Linked DNA regions of Mytilus edulis. Each later gene encodes a partner of the first gene's protein in a complex. Links are inferred from orthologs where the notes say so. Each region holds a gene or a part of one and is shown on either strand. Other genes may lie near its edges. The genes, in order: vacuolar fusion protein MON1 homolog A-like and vacuolar fusion protein CCZ1 homolog.

The links.
Region 2: the proteins of vacuolar fusion protein MON1 homolog A-like (region 1) and vacuolar fusion protein CCZ1 homolog are in contact, whole or in part, in a cryo-EM structure (PDB 8JBE), measured with the Drosophila melanogaster proteins. The link is inferred for Mytilus edulis from reciprocal best matches to the Drosophila melanogaster genes Mon1 and Ccz1. Residues at the interface, in NP_608868.1 of Drosophila melanogaster: Trp112, Gln113, Phe120, Leu142, Val145, Ile146, Leu149, Phe152, Val153, Gln157, Asp158, Ala159, Ile160, Thr161, Ser162, Ile163, His164, Ala165, Gly166, Ile168, Phe170, Phe172, Arg185, Arg459, Ser464, Arg465, Pro466, Leu467, Lys468, Leu469; in NP_647835.1 of Drosophila melanogaster: Lys48, Gly51, Leu52, Ile56, Phe59, Thr60, Thr62, Phe63, Thr64, Asp68, Cys69, Gln70, Ala71, Leu72, His73, Thr74, Gln75, Lys76, Thr77, Ala114, Glu115, Ala412, Asp413, Asn416, Pro427, Ala428, Glu429, Glu430, Val431, Gln432.

The regions. Positions count from the first base shown.
Region 1 is NC_092344.1:78,427,659-78,438,800, forward strand, and holds the start of vacuolar fusion protein MON1 homolog A-like, read right to left. Parts: upstream 5,152-11,142; 5' UTR 5,113-5,151; coding exon 4,807-5,112; intron 3,546-4,806; coding exon 3,385-3,545; intron 2,719-3,384; coding exon 2,280-2,718; intron 1,278-2,279; coding exon 1,102-1,277; intron 1-1,101. UniProt on the Drosophila melanogaster protein: Part of the Mon1-Ccz1 guanyl-nucleotide exchange factor complex specific for Rab7 that promotes the exchange of GDP to GTP, converting Rab7 from an inactive GDP-bound form into an active GTP-bound form.
Region 2 is NC_092352.1:32,879,224-32,889,833, forward strand, and holds the start of vacuolar fusion protein CCZ1 homolog, read right to left. Parts: upstream 4,518-10,610; 5' UTR 4,369-4,517; coding exon 4,132-4,368; intron 3,564-4,131; coding exon 3,466-3,563; intron 145-3,465; coding exon 54-144; intron 1-53. Other genes in the region: short-chain dehydrogenase/reductase family 9C member 7-like, read left to right, coding at 6,165-6,405, 6,944-7,141. UniProt on the Drosophila melanogaster protein: Part of the Mon1-Ccz1 guanyl-nucleotide exchange factor complex specific for Rab7 that promotes the exchange of GDP to GTP, converting Rab7 from an inactive GDP-bound form into an active GTP-bound form.

The DNA.
Region 1 (11,142 bases):
CCGCACAGCCAAACGGGCGCCCCACTTCAGCAAGCGTTTTACTGCCGGTCGGGAGAAGACCAAGTGACCATATTTCTATACCCCAGTCACCCTTGGGAAAATAACTACATGTGAAGCTGATGATAATAGTGATAATATCTTACATCTAAATATAATATGTGTGCTTGAAGAAAACTACTGGAATATACCAAAAACAGTTTTATTGACATAATAACTACCAGTAATTGTAAAGCTTATAAAATACTGAAAATGTTTAATTTAAATTTTCTGTTCCAATGTTTTGGAAATTATTTCAATATAAGAAATGTACCTCTATCATCACGCTTGTACATAGCTCTAATTCTTGTCTGATTTAACTATTTTCATTTTACCGATATTTGATTCTGAATTCTATAATTTTCCAACATATTCCCCTCTAAGTGGTAAGACATCCTGGTACTCGGTCATGTAAGAGGTGTTCGGAAACCGTGTTCCCTACTTAGAGGTAAGACATCCTGGTACTTGGGCATGTAAGGGGGACATAAATAAGTAAAACCATGCTTATGTGTGGAGAATTAACTGTTTGATGTTTTATATACACAACAAAATCATCAGAAAACAGTTATTTCCCCCCTAAAATTGAATCAGTTGTTATTAGATTATGTTTGTTTTGATTGCTCTTGCTTGACTTAGTATCAGGATGTTTTACAACAGAGTTGGGAACTTGAAAAAAAAATTATATAATTTAGAGTTAAATGTCGGTAATATGAAAAAAAGGCTATTTGTTGTCACATTTGCAATCATACCACATCTTCTTTTTTATATTTACATTAATTAGGCAGTTAGTTTTCTCATAAGGATTGTTTTTATTTACATTTGTCATTTTGGACCCTTTTATAACTGACCATGGGGCTTTGCTCATTGTTGAAGGTCAAACAGTGACCTAGAATTGTTAATTTCTCTGTCATTTTGTCTCTTGTAAAAGACTGTCTCATTTGCCATCATACCAAGTCTTCTTTTTTATATTTAGTTCAAAAACTTTATAAGATAAAACCAAAGGAATCCACATTTTAGATGGCTTGTAGAAGAAAACTCTTTACAAGAGATTTCTGTTTTACTCACCTTGCATCAAATTTTGGCAGACATATTGGTGTCCAAGACTCAGCAGCTTTGAAAGACTCGGAGGCATTCACAAGGTTAATGATTAAATGGAGATCCATTGGATGCAAGAAATATTTTTTCATTCGTACCAGTGTCACTAACTGATTGTTTGCTAAAATAATCGCAAAAACTAAGTCCTGAAATCATCCAAAAATAAATAAATAAACAAAATTTATACCATGTATAATCTAAAAATGCAATCAAAGCCATATATATATCCTCAATTAAAGTAGATTAAAATATGCCAATTTAATTTGTCTTCTCCAGTGTACTGTGAATGTTTATTTTTATCTTTCATAAACAATTCTATTTGGAATAGGGATTCTTGTGGATTTGTCTAACTGCGTCATTCGGTTGCTGTGTCTCATTGGCAAATACATGTACCAAACTATCTTTTTTTTCATTTTCACTTTATACATTTGTAATATTCTTTTTAATGAATTAAAAAATAAGACATTTCTTCCTCTTAACTATCATTAGTTCAAAAATGTTTTTTCTTGTTTTGTCAGTCAAACTAAATGGAATTGACAAAACTTGTGTTTTATTAGTATTGCCCAGCCTGTTAGGAAACCCTGCATGTTTTACTGGGTATAGATAATATGAAATACTGGCCTGAATCTTTAGTAGGATTTAGAGATCAATTAAAAATACAATACACATATAATATACAAGGAGACTTAATCTTATGTTGCTTTGATTAAAAAACTTATCATATGCATTCTGTAGTGCATTTATTTGAGAAAATAGCCCTCAAGACATACATGAAATAGTCTTATTTTCCGTTCATTCTTGCGCCCCTCCCCCTTTATCCCTAAATAAATTAAAGTGCCTTTGTACTAAAGTATGTCATGTATTTTCACTATGATGTATTCTTACATCCCTTTATCATTTGTTTTCTTATAATGCTTTATTATAAATATTAGTTATCAAAATAACCCTTTCTTTGGCCATTGTGGACTAATATTTAATGTTTAACAAAAAATATAATGTACATGTACATGTAGTACTAGTACATAAATATTTTGAATGTCCAATGTAAACATACAAATTTTGTTTACATTTTGTAACTGGAGCTAAAATTTTGTATAACTCGAGCTACATGTACAATGGTAGTCGAACTGTTGTACATCAATTCTTACCTTAACTCTTGCATGTTGAATTATACTTTGAGCAATGCTATCTCTAACGGGGCTATCTAAAGGCAGACATCGTACTGCTTGAAGTTTAAAACTAGGGTCATGGTCCATTAAATTCAATAGATTGTCAATAAATTTTTCGGATCCACTCAACATTCTCCGCAAATCATAATTTCTCCTCTGTTTGAAGATTTTTTGTAATGAAGTAAATGTAAGTACACTAAGAATTTGATTATAAATATATGATAGTTGTAGTACAAGTTGTTGGACTGATTCCAATCCTTTTGATACCGCAACAAGGTAAATATGTTCTCGAACTAAGAACACAAACTTATGATCTCCAGCAACAATACTACGCATTGAGTCTTTAGCTGCAGACACAAATGATATCAAAGCTTGAAGAACTCCCATAATTGTCACCAGTTTATCTTCCTGACCATGCCTGTATAAATAAAACTTTCAATATGAATTTTAATGTGAAGATATTAATCTTATAGCACTAATTAAATACATAATCATTGATAATACGAAAATACACAAAATTACACAGAAATATAATATGCTAGATGGTTGTAAAAATTCTTAACAAGACAATTTTCAGATATTTCTTTTCAAATGCTGTACAAACATTTCACTTGCAGAAAATAAAGATTTTTAAAGTCTTTATTTTGAACTTTTTACATGGGAAGTTCGGGACCCTGGAAAGCCATAGAATAGAATGAACAGATATTAATTGACAGCAAGTTTTTAAAATGTCTGAATACAACAGAAAATTTTATATACTTTGTAATAATACATGTTATCAGGTTAGAAAATCATTGGGACTTGTCATTTTTGCCATGGCGAGTATTAAAGTGTGAAAATCAAATTTTATTGCTATAAAATTTTTTTTTTAATTTCTCCATGACAAAAAAGCAAGGAAATGAAAATAACTTTGGATTATTTTGAAACCAATTTAGTGTTAAACTCTTTCTCTTCCCCTAATGTGATGATCCCTCCATGTTGATACAGATAACTTTTATCTATTGCTAAATCATTTGAACAGAAAAAAACATGCATATAACAATAAATTTTCTGATTTATATCCTATCTATAAAATATCTATTACCGTGAGTAAATAGGCTTTCCAGAACTACTTAGTATAAAAATATGCTTCTTTTCCAGTTGCCACTTGGACCCTTTTCCATACTCATCTTCTTCAATTTCTTCTATAGGGTCAGACTCTTTCAAAACCACATCATTCAAAGCTGCAGATAAATCTTTTGGAATCTAGTAAAAAACATGAAAAATAAGAAGGATTAGCTTATTTAACTGTATTGGTACATTTTGTACAGGTATGTATACATTCATCTGTCTTTGACAAATGTTTGCACACAAAGGTATTGGATAAGACCACTTCATTTTTATTTTGACAATTACTTTTTTCCACTATCATCATGATTATTGTAAATTTAGATGACAGAAATCATTGTGAGGTTTTCATAAATGGGAATAATGTGATTGAATGAGTATCACAATAATAAACCTCACATTCTGATATCTAAAAGTACAACTGTATGCAGATTTTCCTGAAACTGCAACAAATAATCTTGCATTTTAGTCCATTCTTCATAATTTTTTGCAATAATAAATGCACTCAATAATTTCTGCAATTTTTAGGCATTACACTTATCTGTAAAAATACATAGACTTTCTACCCATTGCCAATTTTCAAAAGAATTTCATTGATTTGCATATATAGTTTAATTATAAGTTACACCACTGTGAAAATGATAAACCAAAAAAAAAAAAACAATATCAAAATGGGAATGTGTCCATGGGACAAAGATGAACCACTAAAAAAAAAACGGTTAAAGTGACGCTATCAATTTGTAAAAGAGTATAACTCTAGAACGGTTGAAGTACCACCCGAATACTGCCTTGATTTATACTTCAATAAGCTTTGTGTAAATGTTTCATAGCATTTGCCAAATTAGTTGTGGCAAACTTAAGTTAGAGACAGAATAAAAAAACAATTTTTTCATTTGTAAAGGGGCATAACTCTAGAAAAATAAAAGTGCCACCCCCAAAATAAAAACTTTATCTGTATTTTGTGGTAATTAGTTTCATAACATTTGTTTGAGGCAATCTAAAGTAAGAGAACGGAAACAAACTTTGGAACGTACAGACAGATGTAATTATGGACGTTCAGTTGGACAAGGGTAGAACTTTAAAATGCCCCCCTCCGCTATGGCACTGCACTGTATAGTCCAAGAACATCAGAATAATCTCGGACTATGCCCTGTATTATGTGTATTGATACAAAATGTATGTTTTTGTTTTAAATGTGGTATTATAGTATACATCAAGAACAGTTGTAAGTTTGGCATTAAAATCTTAAAATCGTTTTGGAACTCATGGTCTTGGAACCAACAGATATTACATGTATATCTGATCATTTATAAACAGGAACATTGTTTTGGACCTAATGGACTTAAAAATTGTGGCTGTACACAAATATTAATATTTCGTGACATGAGATGATAATGACCTCATTGTGATCTTCACTTGATTCTTCACCAGTGGATGTGTCATTGTGTTCTGAGGAACTGTGTTCGTCCTGAGATCCAGAACGAACAATGGCGTGAATGACACCACTTGGATGGCTGTCATAATCTTCGTTGACCAGATCGTCGTAATTTATATCCACAAAGGTATCTGCTGCCACAAGAACTGCGTTCTTTATTTCTTCTGATGCAGGTTCTACAAAATCGTCTTGATCAGAAGCAGAAGCGGAGTCTGGATTTCGCACTGAAGGGGGCACCTGTTCCGCCTCTTTGCCCTCTGACTCGTCCATAGCCAGGGTTCATTATTTGAGATCACCGAAAATGACTTCCGGTTTATAAAATATTTTTGATGTTGTATGCTTTAAATCTGTAACATAGTTTACAGTGTTTGCAAAACTTCTGATTTGTCATATAAATACATTCTTGATATTCGAGAGTCTCAATAAACTTTTTCAAAGAATGGCATATCATTATTCTAAATATAAGGGGAACAAGTGTTAGCTGTCCAAAAAGCTTGTCTGGCTTTAGCTTTCATGATTGTATAGACGTTACGCGCGATGTTCGTACATGTAAGCGTTACCGTAACACAACGTCCCGAATATGTCGTAACGTTCAAACCGAAAATTTGACTGAAACGTTGTTTTTAAGCAAGTGCGACATTCTTGTAAGAATCCGCAAAATCATCGACGGTGCTTTTTAACTACCCATCGAAAATTGATGTATTTTAGTTTCTTGAAAATTTAAGAAAAATAACATTTAAAAAAATCATAAAATTCTACCATTATAAGAGCAGTGATAAGCAAACAATTGACGTAAATTTGAGTTGAGTTCGTTTTTACGTCAGAAAATGGCGATGCGACAAACTTGTAAGCCTTTGAAAAATAGCTCATAAATTACCATATATCATTTTTCAGGATATTTGTCTTTAAATTCATAAAATTAAGCAAATTAACATTGATGTAGTAAATACAAATACTAAACTTTTTTCATTTTAGATAAATGTTTTTTGATTCTCAAATCTGGAATTCCAATTTTTTCCCCGCGGGACAGATTTGCCCTTGTAGTATGGAACGCGGTTTTTTCTATGACGTCATCATAACGTCATAAAAAAATGCATAAAAGACTGAAGGAACCATTCTGTTTAATTATGGAAAAAAAAAACGTTTTTCAAAATATTAAATAGTTTTGACCGCAAAATCATAGTTTAGACTAATAGTGGTTACAATAAATGAAATATGTTACGCGGGACAACCTAAAAATCGCCGTTTTTTTTAAATGAAGCTTGTCGCATGCAACATAAAACATAGTTTCAACAATTATTTGTTTCGTTTTTATTTTAAAAATCGTTATTTTTTAAAATACGTACAATAGCAATGAATATGATATCACACAATTATATATTTTGGACTTGCATCTTGCCAACTACACCGACTGAATTTCCAATGAGGTACGAATATCGTGCGTAACGTCATAGCAAAAACATTAGTTATATCTGGGACATACTTTACTAGTATACTAGTCCATGCTTTGAAGACTGCAGTAAAGGTTTGCTTAGAGTGTGGGTTAGATTGAGATTGTCTATTGGTATGCAAATGACATTATGTAACACATTATAAGAAATTAAGTTAGATCATAAGTGACATAATGTCGCAGTGACAACAGATAGCTTATGTTTGAAATTCTAAAAAGTTCGGCTTTGACGTAGGAGCATATTGTAAAATAATTCTTATAGTCCCCCAAAAAGGGCTTGTGTAAAGTAAGTCTTACTGTACAATCATTGCTAGTCAAGTTCCCCCCCCCCCCCCCCCCCAAAAAAAAAAAAAGACTGCTACTTCATACTAATTTGATCAAAGTTCTAAGTTCTTTTATTTTCCAATCAAGGCTCCCTGACGGGACATAATGACAACAATACACAATATATCACATTCATAACTACACATAAACATATTGATAAAAATAGAATTAAAATCTTACATTCATAACACATAAACATATTGATAAAAATAGAATTAAAATCATCACAAATAGTGGATGAGATTACCATGTCTATCATAGAATATATATGATACATATAATCTGGGAACAGTATATTTATGTTCCTGATATAATCATACAAAATATGATCACAACATAAAACATGTTACTTACAATTATATATTTTTTTTATAAATCAGTTAAGTTTTTTCTCGAGTTTTTTCAAAGTTTCATATCTTTAATATCATATACTGTTATTCCAGGATCATGAAATTTTTCTGTCTTTTAATGGTTGTTTCTTACATTGACGAGCTAACAATTATTGGAAACAATAAAACTTGTTTCACAATATTTGTGATTTTACTTATTTCTACTTGAACTTTTAATCTTGAACACATTGGAGTTGTATAGCTTATCATTTATACATATTTTATTTGTAACTAAAAACTACAATTGCATGCTTGAAAATTAAGTTATAGATATTTCATATCTTTAGGATAGTTTTGTGGTGTTTCGTAAAATATATCATAGCTTTTGTTGAAAGCCTCGGCCTTATTATACTTAAGTCTGCCTTCATAAGTTTAATAAAAACGGTATAGGTTAATGTTATGTTACTTTTTTAATTGAATTCAGACTAGTAAGTAAATGCTAGAAATTAATCATGAAAGATCACAGGAACGAATAATTTAAATTGTTTATAATATTATTGATACGCTGTTTAATGTTTTGTTTTGGGTTCTTAATGGTAATACATAAACCAATTGGGAAAACAATGATGTATTAATTATGCACAGTATAACTGTTACAAAAATCCGAAATGAAACAATTCGCAGTCATAGCAGGAAATTAACTTACATTTCTTCAAAAAAAAATAATAGCCGTCTGTTATATATATATTTTTAAGAGATTATTGTTTGGAGACCACTAAAAGAAAGTTTATCATTCAACTTATATATAATTTACACAATGATTTTATGATTAATGAAAAACGATAGATTTCAGTAATTTGTGGACCCACATTTTAGAGGGTCAAGATAATCGTGATAAATTTCAGGTATACATATATCCTTTACTTCCGATGTCATCATGGTGTAAATATAATTTATAATTTGTACAAATAGATACAATTAATACTTACTTTCATTGCATATATTTTGATACAGAAAAACCTTTATATTACCCGTATTTATTTCCTTTTTTGTGGTTTTTTTTTGGTAAACCAACTAAAACGTATTTTATCATTTACATGTAATCATTGTACAGTGGTTGTCGTCAGTTTATGTAGTTCATACGTGTTTATCGTTTCTCGTTTTTATATAGATTAGACCGTTGGTTTCCCGTTTTCGGAATGGAAAGGGTGACTGGGGAATAGAAGTATGATCACTTGATCTTCCTCCGACCGGCAGTAAAACGCTAGACAAAGTGGGGCGTCCGTTTGGCTGTGCGGGATGTATCAAGTTTGCAGCCATGTCGAGTCAGAATGGGGACGTTAAATCCGATGTCTCGTGTAAAGAGAGTGCCACGCTTTCTGCACGTTAAGAACCCTTGCAACACCTCTTTGAGGGGTCCGTAGGTGGCCTGTTGCAAGGCAAAATTTCTGTCCACTATACCCTCATTTCCCAGACCATCATCTCGGACGGCTTCTATTCAGTACAAGACCTACCTATTGTTTTTATTGTTAACCTGTTCTAGCCCTGACCATGCATGAAATATTTGCCACTGGACGTTAAGCAACCAGCAATCAATCAATAAACCGTTTGAATGGTTTTACACTAGTAATTTTTGGGGCCCTTTATAGCTTGCTGTTCGGTGTGAGCCAAGGCTCCGTGTTGAAGGCCGTGCCTTGACATATAATGGATTACTTTTATAAATTATTACTTGGATGGAGAGTTTTCTCATTGGCATTCATGCCACATTTTTATATACCTATATATTATACTAATATTCGACAAATATCCCATTCTTTCAACCTAGGCATCATTAAAAGTGTCTCTATCGACCCTTTCATATTACAACATCTGCTATACCACAGTAGAAACTCCCTGTTTCGGCCCTTCTTTACTTATAACGTAATTTCCAGCTGATATGATCCCTCCATAAAGGCACACAAATAGAGGATACCAAAGGGACATTCAAAGTCCGAGTCGAAAATAAACTGCCAACGACATGGCTAATAGACAAACAGACAAATAGACACACAGACACACAGACACACAGACACACAGACAAACAGACAAACAGACAAACAGAAGTACTTTAACAACATAGAAAACCAAAACTTTGTAACACCACCTGCTGATTTGATCACTACCCCTTGGCACCATAGAAAGAATCTATCTCTATTTTATGGTTTTTAAGATGATAGGCAAAAACGTGTAATGTTGGTAAAAATCGTCATTAAGGAGTAAATTCTCCTACAAGGAGTAGACTGATGATTTCGGATTTTTGGCCTATTTGTAGATCGTGAGTCTTGTTGACCATATGTGCTTATTTGTAGATCGTGTGTCTTATTGACCATATTTGCTTATTTGTAGATCGTGTGCCTTGTTGACCACATTTGCTTATTTGTAGATCGTGTGTCTTGTTGGCCATATTTGCTTATTTAAGGTTCTATCTATCTATCATTTTTTTCAGATAAACAACAACAACAACAACAACAATACTTTATTTTAAGAGGGTTACACAGTTAGCTATATAACTAATCTTCCCTGAGGCCCTCGTAATGAAAAATCAAACAAAACACAAACATATACTAGTACATTGCATACATACATTAGCATAAAAAGTCAAGTGTGATAATAATGTTCAATACAACTTGATAAAATGTGATGAAAAAATAAACATGATGACATGATCAGTTTTTTATATTATTTATACAGCTAGGTTGATTTCAATAAATGATCTGTTATTTTGTATTTGAAAGAATTAATATTTGTAATATTTCTTAACGGTATTGGCAAATTATTCCACAAGAATGGTCCAGAATACATAAAAGATTTTTTGAATAATTCTGTTTTTGGTTTAGGGAGTATGAGGTTTCCTTGAACAGCATTTCTCAAGGGGTACGGATTTCTGTCTGAAACATAATGAAACTTGTTAGTAAGATATGATGGGGCATCATTATTAATACACTTAAATGTCATCACTAACTTATGATATTTTATTCTCTGTTCAACTGTCATCCAGTTTAAGTGTTTGAATAAGGGTGCAGAAGGAGCGAATGGGTCTGTTTCTAGTATTAATCTAGCAGCCCTCTTTTGTAATTTTAATATCCTTTTTAAACCCTCACTGCTACAACTACTCCACACTATACAACAATAATCAATAAGTGGCAAGATATAACCATTATAGAATAATTTTCTGCAGTCTAGATTTAGAAATTTTTTAATCTTTAATAGTAGATATAGTCTAGATGATATTTTTGAGCAGATCAAGTCAATTTGGGTTGTCCATGTGAGGGAAGGGTCAATTTTAATGCCTAAAAGACTTTCGCATGTGGAAGATTGTATCACTTGATTGTTAATAGTTAAACAACTCTCATTGTAATGTGGCATTGCTCTTTGCTTCGTTCCAATAATCATATATTTTGTTTTATTTTTATTGATGAACATATTGTTATCATTGCACCATGCCTCTACACCATGTAAATCTTCTTGTACCTTTGACTGAAGAGTTTGATAACAATTACCAGAAAGATGTAAGGTTGAATCGTCGGCATATAAATCAGTGCAACAATTTTTCATATAAATAGGAAGGTCGTTGATGTATAATATAAACAGAAGGGGGCCTAATATGGAGCCTTGGGGAACACCATACTTGATATGAAGTTTTTCAGAATGAGCATTACCAATTTGTACTTGTTGAGTTCTTTCATTCAAATACGATTGAAAAAAAAGAAACAGCAGTATTATCAAATCCATAAATTTCAAGTTTTTTACAGAGGATATCATGATCTACTACATCAAAAGCTTTCTTAAAATCCAACAGGACTGCTAAGTTGATATTACCATCATTCATATCCTGTATCCATTTATCTATGATATTGATAAGGGCAGTTTGGCAAGAGTGTTCTTGTCGAAACCCAGACTGTGCTGGGTGTAAAAGATCTAATCTTTTAAGATAGGCAAACAAATGTTTTGAAACATGCTTTTCTAAAAGTTTTGATAAAACTGGAAGTACAGAAATTGGTCTATAATTTGTTGCCATGAATTTTTCACCAGCTTTAAAAACAGGGGTTACTCTTGCATTCTTTAAAACACAGGGAAATGTACTTGTATCTATTATTCTGTTAAAAATGTAAGTTAAAGATGAAGTTATGAAAGGAGCACTCAATTTTAAAATTTTTG
Region 2 (10,610 bases), on another chromosome or scaffold:
AGAAAAAAATATTCATTGATATTTCTTAAATATAGTACATTTCTTTATTTTACCATGATTATCCAGAAATCTTTCTCTGGTTCTAAATATGTCTGTCTTGTCTTTTGTGTATGTAAACTTTGACATGGTTTATCAGAAAATGTTCTACAAATATATAAATAATACATTTTATTCAATATAAGATATATTAGATAGATTTTTGTTTGCATGTACATTTATTTCAATTATTGTGTATGAAATGTTACACTCTCCTATGACAAATCAGCCTTTTCCAACTATTAATTCAATTGTATAGACTGTGTCTTTTGACAATTTTTTGTAGGACAGCCACTACCCTAGAATTTTCCCATTCATTTAAGATTTTTCTTTTTAACAAAGTTAAATATAGATAGATAGATAGATAATTTTATTAACCAATCATGGTGCCCAAAATTTGAGCTATACAATCAAATGAATTACAAAATAAAGCACAGAAAATGATTAGAATGATTAAAGTACATTTAAACAAAAGAACACATGAATACACATTTACACTAATTAACCTGATATAAACCAAGTTATTGCCAAAACATAGTTGTTATGGGTGCCACTGTGACCTGGAGAAATTACATAATTTTTTTATAGTTCTAGATCTATGGGAGACAACTCCTGATCAATTTTATTTCCAATATATATATATCTATATATATTTTTCTTCTAATTTTTTTTCAAACAACAATATTATCTATAATTTTCTTTCGTTCTTCAAAAAGGGAGTGCAATAAATCAGATAAGTTTGAAGTAACAAACAAATCTTCAGATGAAAGAATCCAGACAAATTTCATTTCATCAGATAATCTTGAAAATTTTTTGAATTTAGAATTTAAATTAGATAGATGTTGAGATCGAGTATCTTTTAGAACAGGACATTTTAAAAGAAAATGTAGTTCGTCTTCAACTGCATTCTAACATAGCTTACACTTTCTGTCTTCAGCTTTAATTCCAGTATACCTCCCTCTTTCGATTTCAAGATCATGACAGCTAGTTCTAAATCTTGTGATTATTTGCCTGTCTTTTTTTGAATTCATTTTTAAATATGGTTCAAACATAAAAATATTTTCAAATTTTCTGTAAGTTCTTAATTTATTGCCAGATTATAAATTAGTACACTTCCCAAAATTGCTTTCTAAACTAGCTAACCAGCTTTCTTTAAATTTAATAGTTAAAGATGTTTTTACTTTTTATATGGTTTTGTTTAAAGTTTGACTGGTTAACAAATAGATATTCTAAGTCTAGAAATTTAAATATTTTCCTATCCAAGATTCCTGGTTATGTTTGTCCATAGAATGAGATAGATTTATGGCTTCCCTTAGAATACTATTTGAAGGTTCAATATCTTTCATAAGATGGATCCAATATTTTACCATATTCATTATTACATAATACAGTGTAGGGAGTGAACCTGCCATATTTGATGTTTTTATATTAACTCCAAGTGAAAATTTACAAAGCTTAGTATGAATTTTCTCTAGTACAAGATAATCAGTTTCTTTTGATATAAAGTTATCCAAATGTATTTGTTTCTTATGTGGTATATAACCCCAAATTTCAGATCCATACAACAAGATTGGTCGGATTATATGGTAATAGATGTGTAATGAAGTACTAGGTTTTGGGATTTCCACTGAAAAGGTCTTCCTTAATTTGAAATATGCTTTCATTCCTTTGTTATAAAGTTCTTTCTTTGCTATTTGGAAACTCCCAGATGATGAAAAATTTATACCTAAGTATGTGTAGTTCTGTACACATTCTAAAGTCTGGTTTCCTGATGAAATTTTAATATTTTTAAGTCTTCCTGATTTGTTAAATACAAGAACCTTGGTCTTTTTTGTGTTAACTGTCATTTTATAATCAACTGTAAATTTATTTAATTTGTTAACACAATTTTGAAGTCCTTATAGTATATGTATTAACATGTTGACCTCAAATTCAAATGCTGTCTTCTTTGTTGAGGAAGCAAAAAATACAAATTTCAAATATATTTTATTGCTAATCAAAGCGCCCACAAGGAGCAGAACAATCAACATTAATTACATACGAATGATTACAAGTGATTCTATATGATTAAGACACAATGTTATAAAAAAACCCAAAAAAACAACCAAACCAAAAAATATTTATTAAGACAAGTACAAGAATACAACAAGCACAGTGTTTAATAATATAAGGAGGGTCACTGGGCATTTCTATATCTATATATCATTTAAGGAAACTTTCCTATATGAGGATAAATTTTCCAATAATTCTCCGAGTTTCTGGAGTATGAAAGTATCTTCAGAGGACATTAGCCAAATAAATTGTGATTTAATATCTAAACCACTAAAATTTTTAAACCGTTGTTTTATTTCATTTAAAAAGTTGAAACGAATATTTGAAAGTTTGTGGCACTGAAGAAGAAAATGAATTTCATCCTCAACCTCAGTACCGCACAATTTACAGATACGTTCTGACACTGTCATATTTTTGTACCTTCCTCTCTCAATCTCTAAATCGTGAGCACTGATATGGAATTTTGTTAAATAATGTCTATATCTAAAATTTTCCTGCAAAAGGTAATTTTCTAAGCAAAATCTGCTTTTAAAAAGTCTATAAGTTCTGAGCTTGTTACCATATAGTTTATTGCCTCTGAAATCATTATTAAGCTCAGTTTGCCATATTAAATCATATTTTGATTGCATCATATTTTGATACATGCTTTGGTAAGGATCTGATTTATAGGTCAAAAGATTTTGTTAGGAAACAAACCTTTTCCCAGATTTGTTTCCTTCTTAGTGGAAATTACAAGACTAACTTTGGTCAAGATTAGATGTAGGGTTTAGAGGACTATATCAATGGCAAACACTTAAAATGCACCTAAATTTCAGTCTTTTAATCACTGCTGTGATCTTTATCTTGGTCAAGTGACCCTAAAATCAACATGGATCTTTTTCACCCCAAAATCCAATGAAAAATAGTAAACATCTGATTCATGGATTGAAATGTATTGCCCAGTTATCAAACCTTTGCCAAAATTGGCAGTCTATTTGTAGGTGTTGTGACCATGACCTTGATCTGAACCTTGTAATCTAGAGGTCTTATTCTTTGAAAAGGTCATTTTTAAATAAATTAATGAAGTTTGGACATATGGTAGGAAACCAGAATTTGTCCAAATTTCATTCTATCACTTACCCTTTGACCTAGTGATACCAAAATCAAAATCAATAGAAAACTTCTTCAACCTATTGGAAATTCTAGAAAAAGTTTGTTCAAGGTATTGGATAAGGGTCAAAAGTTGTATGGTAATCAAACATGTATGTCTGATCATCATTCTTCAATATTTAACCTAATCATAATTTTTTTAAGCAGAAGAGACATGCAAAAATGCAAGCCTACATGTGTAATTGCTTCAGATATTTAAAAAAAAATAACAATTCAAAATGTACTTACTCAGTAAACTTGCAGATAGCTTCACACAGTCCAATTTGTTTTATCTTAGTATCTATATGGTCATTCTTTGGATAGTAATACATGATCTTTTTCTCTTCCTGAAATAAACATTTTAGCATTATCAAAAAGTTCTGTTTGACAATGTTTGAGTGGCAATTCTTGACATATCATTTTTTTTTATCTAAGAAATCATTGCCATGGTTTTAAAATAAAACATGGAAAATTTTAACTTTTAGTGTTGATAAACTGAGAAAGTCAAATAAGTAGGACACACTCTACATGTAAATGCGAAATTTTTAAGTTTATAGTTTTTTATGCAACTTACATTAACATAGTGTATTCAAATTATATAAATTATGTATACCAAGACATCAAAATGAAATAGAATAAGGGTGAACAGATACTAGGGTGACTTGAATTAGGGTGAAGGGTGAGTTGTTAATGTCTGTGTCATTTGGTCTCCTGTGGACTGCAGTTGTCTCATTGACAATCATACCACATCTTCTATTTTATATGCCCAGGTCTTATTCTCAATATTGGTACATATATTCTGCACATTTCATTTTTGTTTTTTATATGGAGTCTCAGCTAAGAATATGAATTATCAAAAGAGTGTATATTCTTAAATAACCAAGGCACAATACCTTGTACTTTGTATAAACTTACATCACCCTCTCTTGGTCCATATTCTGAATTGAATACAAAGAAATTAATCAGGCTTATTCCTCCTTTAACAGCCATGCTTTTGTTATGATTTGGTGTGCTGTTATGTTTTATTTCTTGGTCGCTTGATTTTCTACTAGTTGGCCTTTGACTATGCTTAGTAAAAATGTTTGACAACTTATCACTGTTGCAACAACATGAAGTGGAAATTTCTTGTTTCTCGTTAAAATATTCATGCATTAATTAATGCAGGTTTGTGATCCAGAAAATACAATTGTCAAAATCATTAATGCCTCTGATGAAAGTCATTTTCTAGCCTAGCAGACTTCAAAGTTTACTCCTACTTCACAACTCTACTTTCGATTTAACAGGAAGTCCTTTTCTAGTCTATTTCCGGCTACTTTCACTTGGCACTTTGTATGGTTCGATATTGAGGACGATAGGCCATCATAGGGTGATTATTTTGTAAAAATGTAAAGTATTTACATAACTATCAAAAACACAATTTTCATAGAATGAAATATGAAATATTCAAGTTTCATAGAGTTATGAACATCATTATACTATAAGACGTCATAATTCTTTGTATTGGAATGCAAATATTTTAACATTTCTTTGTTAGCTCAGTTCATCATAACCTTTTTGCTAAAATATATGTCAGTATTTACACCCTAAATTTAACTCTAAGTACAGACAAACCTTTCCACCCGGAGAAGTTTTAAGGCATGGCAGGATACCCAAATTGCACCTATTTAGAAAAAATATCAGTGGATATCTTACAAGATTTCCTAGAGACTAAACAATTTGCATTTTTATGATTTGATACTATGCACGTCTTTCAACATATGTAAAGATATTTAGATATACACAAAACGTTCACAGTATTTATCAACAGATGAAGTGTTTACTGAAAAAGCAAAATGTACGGAAACGTCGCCATGCGACATCATTAAAACGTCATCTTTTTTAAATTAACAAAAACAATATGTTACAAGTATCCATTTCTTAAAAAAATAAGACTAAATATGGACTAATATCCAATTGTTCTAAATAATTGAAAAAATAAAACAAAACATTTGTTATTCGATTTTTAATGATGTAAATTTAAGCATGGATGCAATTTGGGTACTCCTCATTACGAAATCATGAATAGTTTGGAGGTCGATTCAAACCTATGACTCAATATGGATTAAAAATCAAATTGGTGTACTTTTATAATAAAGAAGGATACAGCTACAAAATAAACACAGAGTGGACATTTTTGTCTTGATCATAAAAAAACGTAGGAGAAAAAACTGTCAAAATAGGTGCAATTTGGGTACCGTCAGGTTATGCATTTTATGTTTCAGAAAATTATAACCTTTTATGGATTTTGCTATTCAGTTTTTTCATTCCTGAAAAAGGTGCAAAAATAAACTAAGTTTGGGAAAAGTTTGAGAATCTCCTCTCATATAATCAAAGTTGTATGTAGTATTGATCTAAATGGACAATAGATGGACAATAGACATTGCAAACAAGAGGTGATTTAAACTGTGTAACTGAGTTGACTGTATCGAATGAAACTTGTGTGTTTGTTTATTTTGCTATCTTCTGCAGACTGTAAAAAAAGGCACATCAAAATCCAGGTAAAAGTTTTTAATTTTCTGAAACATAGACTACTTATAACTTTTATATATCTAGGTCCTGCCATGCCTTAAAACGTTCCTAGATGCATCAGTTTGTCTGTATTCATAGTAGATTTTGTGATGTTAACGCAGCCATTTTCAATTTCTTTTGATGAACCTTTACAGTGTTCATTAAAATGTATAACAAATGGACAAACATGACTGTTGGTACACCTACAAAATTACTCTGTGCTGTGCAGTGCAGTTGGAATTTTTTTAGCTTTCGCTAGTCAATGCTAATTATTCAAAAATTAAATACATTGTGTGCTTCAGTAAGATTAAACAGATCAATTCTAAGAAAACTCATTCTGCAGTTGTTAAACATGTGTATTGATTAATTACAGAGAGCAGTATAAGCTACAAGCTATCAGAATGGACAGCATAAGAAGTTACTTAGGAATGGGAATCAAGAAGTTCATAGGATTCCAGGCTTTTGAACTGACTTATCTGGGAGTATTGGCAGTGCTACCATTCATTATAGTCCAACCATTCATAGCCAAAACAATACTGTTTGTGGCTTTTCTCATTATACTAAATGTAGTGTATCAGAAACTTACCTTCAGACGAATAAACACAGAGGAAAAATATGTCTTTATAACTGGTTGTGATACAGGTAATAATGTAATAGGAAAACAAACATGACAAAGGATATATGGGATCCATTCAATGCAGAGCAAAAGAAGATGGGTTGATAGTCTCTGGTTATTGACTTTTCAAACTTAAGTAATATCAGGTAGATTTGGACCATACTTGTATTTTAGAATTATAATAATTCTTATGGTAATATGGTATAACATACAACTAGTGCATTGAATTAAATGACAATTTTAATGATATTCACACTGAAAAGTTGGTCGTCTAATATAGACGGAACAGTACAGACTAAAGTAAAGTAAAAGTAATTATGATCAATTGCTTAATATTGTGCCTTATGAACATTAAAATTGTTACTGATAAAAAATAACATTTAAACCAAATTCAAAGGATACTATAAATTACTGTATGTATTTCTCCTCTTCATGTTAGTAAATTAAGGCGAACTCAAAAGTGGTGTCATGAAGTTATTCCAAACTTTCAGGATTTGGTTGTTATTTTGAAAGCATTGAGAAAAGAGTTTTTATCTTGTTTTTTTGGTAACTTTATCTTAAAAGGTTTTGGGAATGCTGTGGCTCGTCGTTTATCAGGAGAAGGATTGTCTGTGTTTGCTGGGTGTTATAATCCAGATGGTAAAGGAGCCAGTCAACTTAGATCAGAGTACAGTAGTATACAGATAATAAAACTTGATATAACAGATGATAATTCTGTTGACCAGGCTTTTGCTGAGATAGAGAAGAAAGTCAAAGATAAAGGTATTTACATGTATATATATATGACAAATTGATATCAGCATCATAAGCAGAAACAGGAAGACACAATGCCACAAAATATTTGAACAGAATTTCAATGATGAAGTTAAAGTTAGAACTGTTTTTGGTCTGTCAAACTTTAACTACATGTAGCAAATTGATGTTCATTCCTTAGAAATTTCGGGTGCAATGATAAATGATACTCTTAGTATCAGTCTTTTATTTAAGCCAAATTAAATAATTAATAGACAACTCCTAATTGTTAAGCTGCATAAATAACAGAAAAGGAAAATGATGGGTTTGAAATGTTACATGTACATGTGTGTTTTGTTGAATACCTGTAAGTGGATTAATTCTTCCTCAATGAATTACTATGCATTTGTATCTGTGATAAAATGAGGTAAATTTTTAACCAATTTATGACAACTATATCCCTGTTGTAAAATATTATCTTGTTACTAATGGAACTTATATACTTTCATTGTTTTCTTTATAGATGTCATTGCAAATTTTCATATAAAACTACAAACTCTAACTTTATCTTTTACTACCAGGTTGTATATATTTTTGTTGAGCCTTCGACTTATGTCGAAAAAGTGAGATATAGCTTTCCTACATTCTGTTGGTGTCGGCGGTGGCGGCGTTCACAAATATTCACTCTGTGGTTAAAGATTCCTGTTTTTCCGTATTTTACTTATAAATGGACTTAATTTTTCTGCAAGGAAACATTACTTTCACTCTGTGGTTAAAGTTTTTTAAGTTTTAATAACCTCCTTAAACTGGCCTGGATTTCTACCAAACTTGGACAGAAGCTTGTTTATGATCTTAAGATAGTATCCAGAAGTAAATTTTGTAAAAAAAAATCCTGTTTTTCCGTATTTTACTTTAAATGGACTTAGTTTTTCTGCCAGGAAACATTACATTCACTCTGTCATTAAAGTTTTTAAAATTTTAATAACTTTCTTAAACTAGCCGCTAATATCAGTGAAAATACACCTACTTCATGTAATTGTAGTAATTCCACATACATTTATGGACCCATTTCCCATGTTATAACAGGAGATCTTAATATCGTTCAAGACTGAGAGTTAAAATCATTCCTCAGTAAAGGACCTAAATATCGTCCCCCGTCAGTTATTAATTGGAATGAATTTCGTAATATCATCCACGACTCACTCCGTACTTACTGTTTGAAATGGATAAAACGGGAAAAAGCTGACAAAAAATCTTTGGACTCTTTCTTTAATTCAGTAATGAACATAGTTGATATACATATTCAACATTTTAAAGAACATTTTATTATTAACAATAACCACAATAAACCTAATTCTCGTATCAAACATAAACTAAAAGAACTAGCCAAGGAATTTGTTTTTTTCCCGGCCGATAAAGCTGCTAATAATATTGTTATTGTTTGACGTAAATTTTACATTGAGGTTCTGAAAAAAGAAATTACCAATTCACCAACATTCCAACTGACTCCATTTTCAGAAATCGACATCTGTAACAAACATAAACTTTTAGCTACCCCTTTACAAGCAGAACTGAATACAATGAAAGTCCCTACTATGTATTGGCTTCCGAAGCTACACAAAACACCTTACAAATATAGATTTATTTCGTCTTCAAGCCATTGTTCCACTACTAAATTGTCTATTCTTCTTACCAGTACACTTGGTACAATCAAAAACCTGATAATAAATTGTTCAAATAAGGCCTTCGAAAATAGTGGAATTAATTACTTTTGGAGTGTCAAGAACTCGTTGGAAGTACTTGATAAATTGCATGCTTATATTGGTGATTTTGAATCTGTTCAAAGTTTTGATTTTTCTACCCTGTATACCACATTGCCTCACATTCTCATTAAGAAAAAATTCACCCACCTAATTAAATGGGCATTTAAAAAGTCAGAATGTGAATATATATGTTCAAACTCTTTTAGGTCATTTTTTAGTAGCAATAAACAAAAAAACTATGTCAATTGGACATGCTTTGATACTATATATGCCCTTGAATTTTTACTAGATAACATTTTTGTTCGCTTTGAAGATTCTATATATCGTATGGTTATTGGAATTCCAATGGGGACTAACTGTGCACCACTTATTGTGGACCTGTTTTTGTATTGCTATGAGTTACAATTTATGACAAAAATCAGCAAAGACCCATCGAAACAACATCTCATAAACAAATTTAATAATACTTTTAGATATGTGGATGACATTTTGGCTCTCAATAATGACGACTTCAGTATGTATACTAAAAAAATTTATCCTGTTGAACTTACTTTAAATAAAGCTAATACTAACAATGACCACTGCCCTTTTCTCGATCTTGATATCTATATCACTAACGGAAAGCTGAATACTAAAATTTATGATAAAAGAGATGATTTTTCATTTCCTATCGTTAATTATCCATTTTTAGATGGTGACGTTCCATTGTCACCATCTTACGGTGTTTATATATCTCAACTTGTACGATTCGCTCGTGTATGTAACAATGTTTTAGATTTTAACGAGAGAAATTTATGTATTACTGAAAAATTATTACACCAGGGTTTTCGATATCACAAACTAGTCAAAACATTTACTAAATTTTATCATCGGTATAAGGACATCATTCGTAAATATAGCTCAACATGCAGACTTCTTATAAGTTCAGGTATTTCACATCCAATTTTTTATGGAACTATTCTTTATAAAGCACAAAAATGTCAGTATTCACCTCAGAAACTAACAAAACCTTTAAATAGACTTATCAAGAAGGGATATAGTTACGATACTGTTGTCAGGTCACTAAAGATTGCTTATTTTGGCGTTAATATTGATTCACATATAGGGTCTTTGCATCGGAACTAAACACATTTATTAAAAAACCAGTTGTTGGCATGACACGGGTTATGTTCTTCTCATATATGTTATGATGGTATGATACTAAACCCCTAACAGGAAGGATTGTGCCTGATATTCATAAGATGAAATCATAACCTTTCAATCAGTTTAATTGAAGTCTGGAGCTGGCATGTCAGTTAACTGCTAGTAGTCTGTTGTTATTTATGTATTATTGTCATTTTGTTTATTTTCTTTGGTTACATCTTCTGACATCAGACTCGGACTTCTCTTGAATTGAATTTTAAATGTGCGTATTGTTATGCATTTACTTTTCTACATTGGCTAGAGGTATAGGGGGAGGGTTGAGATCTCATAAACATGTTTAACCCCACCGCATTTTTGCGCCTGTCCCAAGTCAGGAGCCTCTGGCCTTTGTTAGTCTTGTATTTTTTTTAATTTTAGTTTCTTGTGTACAATTTGGAAATTAGTATGGCGTTCATTATCACTGAACGAGTATATATTTGTTTAGGGGCCAGCTGAAGGACGCCTCTGGGTGTGGGAATGTCTCGCTACATTGAAGACCTGTTGGTGACCTTCTGCTGTTGTTTTTTCAATGGTCGGGTTGTTGTCTCTTTGAC